Linked DNA regions of Sus scrofa. The protein of the gene in region 1 interacts with the protein of each later gene in a pairwise test. Links are inferred from orthologs where the notes say so. Each region holds a gene or a part of one and is shown in the gene's direction. Other genes may lie near its edges. The genes, in order: LHX9 and KHK.

What was found.
Region 2: the proteins of LHX9 (region 1) and KHK interact in binary tests that used the Homo sapiens proteins (3 or more experiments, as listed by UniProt). The two-hybrid records come from large-scale screens. The link is inferred for Sus scrofa from reciprocal best matches to the Homo sapiens genes LHX9 and KHK.

What each region holds. Positions count from the first base shown.
Region 1 is NC_010452.4:20,757,340-20,760,362, forward strand, and holds part of LHX9 (LIM/homeobox protein Lhx9), read left to right. Parts: intron 1-889; coding exon 890-1,092; intron 1,093-2,285; coding exon 2,286-2,543; 3' UTR 2,544-3,023. UniProt on the Homo sapiens protein: Involved in gonadal development.
Region 2 is NC_010445.4:112,028,093-112,032,632, reverse strand, and holds the start of KHK (ketohexokinase), read left to right. Parts: upstream 1-1,499; 5' UTR 1,500-1,595; coding exon of another isoform or gene 1,596-1,647; coding exon 1,648-1,687; intron 1,688-4,232; coding exon 4,233-4,387; intron 4,388-4,540. Other genes in the region: EMILIN1 (EMILIN-1), read left to right, coding at 1-303. UniProt on the Homo sapiens protein: Catalyzes the phosphorylation of the ketose sugar fructose to fructose-1-phosphate.

The sequences.
Region 1 (3,023 bases):
ACATCTTCCACCTGCCCCACCAGCCAGGGGCAAAGTTCACACCCTCACACACATCCAGAGCAGAAGGGGCCAAGGTCAAACCCGGACATCAGTGTCTCTGACCTGTGAGCTCTGGGTGCACTTTAGGCACAAATCCAGGAAAGAGAAGTTTGGCAAAGTTTTCTCTTTCCGAAAGATTTACTAAGATAACTCCAAGGGAAAACTCTTCCCACCCCGGTTAGCTCTATGTTAGCTGACCATAGCTAAAACCCCTCTAAAAAATACCCTTCTGGTTACGTAAGACCCCTGCCAGTTTTTATTTTGTAACTTCTCCCTCTTCTCCAGCCACTTTTAAACTTTTTTTTTTTTTCTCTAATGGAAAAGATTCTAGGATTAGGAGAAAAGGCTATAGATTGGAACTTAGAGTCTTCCTTTATGGGGAAGGGCTGTCTCCAAAATTTTTGGTTTGAGAGAGCTGAAGTTCCTTGTTTGTACACCCTTCGTGACAAAGAGCAATATCCCCAGAGAGTACATCTCATTTCCCAGATACAGACAAAACGTGGTCTCTGAAAACAGAGTGTATTAGAAAAGGGGTTTTTCTCCTTTTCACTCTTGGAGAAGATTTCTTTCACTCCCACACTTACAGGTTTTCTAGCAACCATTGAGCCAAAGAGGGGATTTATCTAATGCTTCTCTACTCTGTAAACTTTGGTTGCGTCCACACTAACGGACTAGTTTGGCGGACTTTGGCAATTAACCTCTTTCTTTTGTCTGGATCGCGCTCCTAATTGGGGCGACAGCCTTTTCCACTGTTGCTGTTGGGTCATGACACGATCGCGCCACCTGCCATCTTTTCAGCTAATGCAGGACTTGCCACTGAGCCCTTGTTTGTCCACTGTGACTGCCACAGGTTGTAACGAGAATGAGGCCGACCACCTGGACCGGGATCAGCAGCCATACCCCCCCTCGCAGAAGACCAAGCGCATGCGCACTTCCTTCAAGCACCACCAGCTCCGGACCATGAAATCCTACTTCGCCATCAACCACAACCCGGACGCCAAGGACCTCAAGCAGCTTGCTCAGAAAACAGGCCTGACCAAAAGAGTTTTGCAGGTAAGAAACCTCCATCGTTGGCTGTGCCTTTCCCTTGCGGTAAAAAGAGTTCTCTTCCCTGTGTGGAGTGATAACAGGTATTTCCTGAACTGCTTCTATTCTATTAGTTTATCTTAGTTGCTTCCCTGGAGAGTGTACTGAGCCCTTGTAGGGGCTTGGGTGAGAGTACCCAAGGAGAGACCCAGAGCCTTTGAAAACGCAGCCGCATTCTCCCTACAGATGGAGAGACGGGTCCACCAAAGCCAGCTCAGCTGGCTTCACAGCTCTGCAATTGCGGGTGATGTTATCTGCAGGAGCTGTGGCTTTGGGGACGTTCGTTCACCCTAGGTTCAGTGCACAGACTGGGTGGTGGCGGGGACCTGCTGGTGTTGTCTCACACTCTCTGCAGCCTCACTACATGCAATGAGCTTCCAAGTTCAAGTCTCCCCATTTTGTCAGCTCCTGAAAAGCCACAAATATGGTTAGTGTCTCGACAACCAGCTGGAGCGAATAGTTTCCCATTTTAACAATCCATATTTACACAACTACATACTGAGAGTGAGATCTGCTGTCCAGTTGCTTTCCTAAACTCATCATGGAAAAAACATATAACTGATGACACGATAGGGGGTTGCTGTGGGTCCCCTGTGATCCTCGTACACTTCTCAGTGACAAATACCAGGCATTTTTAATGCCACCCAATTTCCGGTTGCTTGGAGTCTGTGGCCTGGAGGTTTTTCCTTGGCAGGGATTCCTTGCCCTGTGTCAGACTCAAGAGTAGCCTGAAATGTGTTTCAAGGATGTTCATTTCATGCGAGTGATTCTTACTTTGTGAACCATTCCACGAGCTTGCCCTTCCTCATTCTCAAGACAACAGTTGAGGAACCAGCCTGTCTTTCCCCAACTCTTTATCCCTGTGCCTTCTTTTTTTCCCCATAGTATCTCCACTTAAGCATCTGCTGCCCCAGGGGGCACTTGTTAATGAAGGGGGGGCACACCTGCTGTGGAGAGGATATTTCTAGTCGTCCCGGAATCACTCAGTTTTAAACGAAAGCCAAAAAAAAAAAAAGCCACTTTCTCCCAAGAAAAACAATTATATATATTAAAAAAATCCAAAAAAAGAAAAAAAAAAAAAAAAAAAAAAAAAAAAAGGAAAGAGAAAAGAAGTATAAAACTAAACATCGGTAAAGAAATCCATTGGGATTGGTTTGCAGGTTTGGTTCCAAAACGCACGAGCCAAATTCAGAAGGAACCTTTTGCGGCAGGAGAATGGGGGTGTTGATAAAGCTGATGGCACGTCGCTTCCGGCCCCGCCCTCAGCAGACAGCGGCGCTCTCAGTCCACTCGGCACTGCGACCACTTTAACAGACCTGACCAATCCCACTGTCACTGTAGTGACAGCCGTGACCTCTCACATGGACAGCCACGAATCCGGAAGCCCCTCACAAACTACCTTAACGAACCTTTTCTAACATTGTTTTTTTTTTTTAATGCTTCCTCTTCTTTTTATTATTATTCTAATTATTATTTTATTATCTCCAAGACTATTTTTTTTTTTTCTAACCCGCAAGCTATTTGGGAAATAGAAACAACAGCTCGGTGTGTAGCTTCTGCAGCCACTTGGCAAATGAGTTTATTATAGTACTGTCTCCTTTACAAAGTGTATTTTTTTTTTTTTTTGTCTACAAAGTGTATTTGAATTTTTCAGAAAAAATTAATTAGATCTTTCAGTCGGTAAGGGGAGTTTTGGAATCATTCTAATAAGTGCCTCTTAAAATTGTATGTTACTTATTTCCAGAATCTCAAAGAAAAAAAAAAAAAAGAGTGGTATTATGATGGGTAAATAATCATATTCCCAGTTAAATCATGAGGTTGTTAAAGAATCAGATATTTAATTAAAATTATTATTTTAATATTGCAATTGTATGTGTATTTACAGAATTTTGAAAAGT
Region 2 (4,540 bases), on another chromosome or scaffold:
CGCTACTTGCTGAGTGCGGTGCTGACTGGGCATCGGCACGAGAAAGTGGAGGCCGTGCTGTCGCGCTCCAACCTGGGTGTGGCCCGCATAGACTCCGGTGGCTACGAGCCTGAGGGCCTGGAGAATAAGCCGGTGGCCGAGAGCCAGCCCAGCCCGGGCGCCCTAGGCGTCTTCAGCCTTATCCTGCCGCTGCAGGCCGGGGATACGGTCTGCATCGACCTGGTCATGGGGCAGCTGGCGCACTCGGAGGAGCCGCTCACCATCTTCAGCGGAGCCCTGCTCTACGAGGACCAGGAGCTGTAACAGGTGTAGACAGGGGGCTGGGCCGCCGGCTACCGCCCGCCAAAGAGCCAGCGGGGGCGGCGGGCTCGCCGGGTCTCGCCTGGGACTGGGCGCTGACTCCGGGCGAGCCGCCGTTTCCGTACCCGCCGCGGCACAGGCGCCCGGAGCAGCCTCCTTCCCACGGTCGGAGCGCGCCGGGTCGGGGACTCGGGTTCCCTCGTTCAGACTTTCGGACTGATCGCCGTCCCCTGCAAGACCCGGACTGCGGAGGAGCCAATCCTCGCACCCTTTGCTCCCCCAGCTGGCCTCTAGACCGAGTCCCTGGGCTCCAGGGCTCTCTCTCGAGGGGCCTCGGGACCCCACCGCCATACTAAACTATTCAGGAATAAAGACATTTGGTTTTTCTAAAAAAAACAAAATACAACAAAAAAAGGCCGTTTACTCCAGCGTGTGTTCAAGCGTAGACAGGCGTACACAGGGGACGGGGCGAGAGAGCCTGGGACCCCGGACCCCGCTTGAGCTCTGCGCTCTGCCTGGGTGGCTCTGCCAGCCCTTGCTCCGGACGCGCGGGCCAGAAGGGCTCCCGCCCCCTTGGAGCCGCAGCGGGGCCTGCCTCCTGGTCGCGCCCTTGCTGCGGGCGTCCGCCAGAGGGCGCTGGAAGCCGGGACCGCGGCGCCGCTAGGCGGGCCTGCCGTCACGTGACCGCCGCCGCTCACCTCGCGGGCCCTCGCTGCTCCACCACGGAGGCTAGACTCGCGCTGGGATTGGCCGAGGCTCGGGGGCGGGGCTGCCGGGACAGCGCAAGCCGCGGCGGCTCGGGATGCCCGGCTCGGGCCGTAGCTGCGAGGCCCTGCTTCACGCCGCCCGTCTAGGTGCTGGGAGGCAGGGCAAGGGATGCCTTTCTGCTGCCACTTTGTCTTGGCATTCAAGAGGGTGCCCAGCCGCGCTTTAGAGAGATTTGCGGTAGTCGGAGTCCGTCGGACAAATGAGGAAACTGAGGGCGAGAAGTGGGAAGCGGAGCCATCTCCTGGGCCGCGCAGCCTGCTGAGCGAAAGCCGGGGACCAAGACCTCGGGGTCTGCGCTCCCAGGCCCGCTGGGGTCGGTGGGTGTGGGGGGCAGGAGCCCGGCTCCGTCCCCTGCACCCCACTGCACCCCTCGCCGCCGGAGGAGACTCCCTGGAGGAGGAGCTCAGGACGCGGAGGAGGAGCCAGGACAGCCCCTGCGAGCGGGACACGATCCTCCAAGATAAGAGGCCGAGCCCGGGAGGAAGCCCGTCAGCCGGGCCAGCCGAGAAAGCTCCGGGAGCGGCCTCATGGAAGAGAAGCAGATCCTGTGCGTGGGGCTAGTGGTGCTGGACATCATCAATGTGGTGGACAAGTACCCGGAGGAGGACACGGACAGCAGGTAGGGATGCCCGGGCCTCTCGGAAACCTCAGGGACCGCTGCCGCCGCCGCCTTGTGCCCGGCGACCAAGAATACGGGGCTGCGGAGCCGGGGCCCCGTGCCCTCTGCCTGTGGCCTTGAGTGCATTGTGTTCGCCGGTTCCCATTTCCACCCTGGGACCGGGTCAGACATCATTGTCCTCATTTTACCGAGTAAGCAAATAGAGACCCCGAGAGTCGCAGTGACTTATGCGAGGGCAAGCAGCTAAGAAGGTGCATGCAGGGCCAGTTTCTTTGTGTTTTCCTTTTTTTTTGGTCTTTTTTAGGGCCTTACCTGCGGCATATGGAAGTTCCCAGGCTAGGGGTGGCCTTACAGCACAGCCATAACAATGCTGGATCCGAGCTGCGTCTGAGACCCACACCGCAGCTCATGGCAACGTCGGATCCTTAACCCACCGAGGGAGGCCAGGGATGTGCCGGTTGTGGCTCAGCTGTACTAGTTTCCATGAGGATGAGCCACGACCGGAACTCCAGTTTTTTCCTTTTTAATAGCAAGACCTATATGCCCGCCTCTCACCGGCACTGACTTCTAATATATTTACCACATAGAGAGCTCATCTGTTTCTTTAAAAAAAAAAAAAGAAAATCGAGGTCACTTCCAAGAAGATATGCAGTTAGACTGTTCAAGAGCATTTGAAACCATGATGTTTGAGCTTCACTGTAGCTCAGAGCTTGCTGGCTGTGCAGGCACATTTGGAGATGCTGTGAGTTGTGGGTAGAGCTGGCTCATGAGACTTCTCCCTGGTGCTGAATTCCAGAAGTTTCCCAGAAATCCTTTTGACAGCAGTCAGTAACAACATAGTGGACACCATCCCACTCGGTTGTCTGGTAGAAGTTGAAGAGTCATGTGTTGGTTCCTATATTTACTCTTGATAAGAACCAAACCGTTAACACTCTAATCCCAAGACCACTTCTGTGCAGCAGAATCCGTGGCTGTCTCTGGGTGCAGTCTAGTGCTTAGAACACAGAGAAAACTTGCTTCCTGGCTCTCAATTGTCTCAGCCTAAGAACTGGATAAAAGCCTAGTTCAAGGCTGAGCTCAGGCAAGACACTGCAGCGCTGGCGGCCTTGAGGCCCCCGCATTTTTCAGGCATTGGGTGCACACAGCACAGGCACAGTCACACACTTGCCGCACAGCAGCCCATGGGAAGTGGCTAAGGACCAGTTGCCTCCTCCTCTCTTTTTCGGATGAGGAAGCCAGAGATTTGGAGAAATTAGATTTCTGTGAGGCCATAGAGTTAATGAGTGGCAGAGCAGTGGTGACACCTCAGGCGTCCTACCTCTGAGCCTCTGTCATCTCTTGAGCTCCCCGTTCCTTTGCTGCTGCCCGTCTGATGGACTTGACCCTCTGCTTTGGGCTGCTTGCTTTGCCAGGGGTGCAGGGCACCCGGGTGTGCTGCTGGGTGGACCTAGCCCTCCTGCCAAGGTCAAGCCAGCCCCAGGACTTGGCGCACAGTGAGGTGTGAGGTCTGTTCTCTGCGCGGATTCTGGGACCACAGGCTCCTCGAGAATGGCAGAGGGCCCCGGGAGGCCACAGGGTGCCACCGTCCATGAGAGCCGACTCCCTTTTCCTCTGAGCTGCTCTGTCGGGAGACCAGAACCTTGCTGGTCCCACCCTGATGGGGGCTCTTCAGAATGTGGGCGCTTAAGTGATTGACACCTCTCGAAGGAGCCCCTTCCCAAGTCCTCCACACGCCCTGCCCTTCCGAGGGTACCCCCTCCCCCAGACCCAGGGCTTGCTCCTCTGCCGAGCAGGCTGGCTGTCCACAGGGCCTGTCCCCTGTGCTCCAGTCCCACCCGGCCCAGCTCCTGGCCTCTGCCATGCCTCCTAGATGAGCAAACTGAGTGCGGACCCAGCCGCTCCCAGCATCTCAGCCGCACCTGACCCAGGCTGTCTCCATAGGCGGCTGCAGCCTCACAGGAGCTGCTGCATGGCACACGGCCAGACCCCTGAGCATGGAAGTTGGGTGTCAGTATGACTTCGAAGGGTTTCCACAGAGTAAAGCTGTAAACCCTTTCACTGAAACCTCATCCACGCTGGGACCCAACAACTTGCCATATTCAGAGACACGCAGCGCATGCAGGGCTTTGGGGGTCAGGAGACCTGGGTTCTGGTGTCGGCTCTGTCATTCACTGTTGGTGTGACCTTGAGCAGGTGCAGGCCCTCGAAGCTTCTCGTCTTTTCTCTGCATGAGGAGGCTTGCCCGGGGGAGGCGGGTCACTGTGGCTGAGGAGGGGTAACCCAGAGTCAGCGGAGCCCTCGAATCCTAGTGGCCCTGAGCGAGTGCTTTCCTGAGGTCCTAGGAACAGGTGGAAGATAGAAATTAATCACCGTGAACTTGCATTTAGCCTGCGCTGGGTCCTCAGCCACGACCCTTCCCTGCACGGAGCCTTAGCTGTCCATCTAGAAGTGAGAAGGCCGGTCTGGGTGCTTGCCGATGGGGAGCTCCCGGTTCCTACCTTCTGCAGGCCCTACCCAGGCTCAGCCCTTCTTGTCCCGGCACCAGCCTGCTGGAGCTGCCGGGACCCTGCTTGTGTGTTGCAGGTGTTTGTCGCAGAGGTGGCAGCGTGGAGGCAACGCTTCCAACTCCTGCACGGTTCTCTCCCTGCTCGGAGCCCCCTGTGCCTTCATGGGCTCGCTGGCCCCGGGCCACGTTGCCGAGTGAGTGGAGGGAGCAGGGGAGGCTGGCCCGCAGGGTGGGGAGAGGGACGCCTCGGCCCTGGGTGTGTGGGCTCTGAGACATGGTGAGGGGAGTGGGTGAGGGGCGGAGCGGGGTCCCAGCATCCCATCCCTCGCGGCTGTGGCTCATCTGCT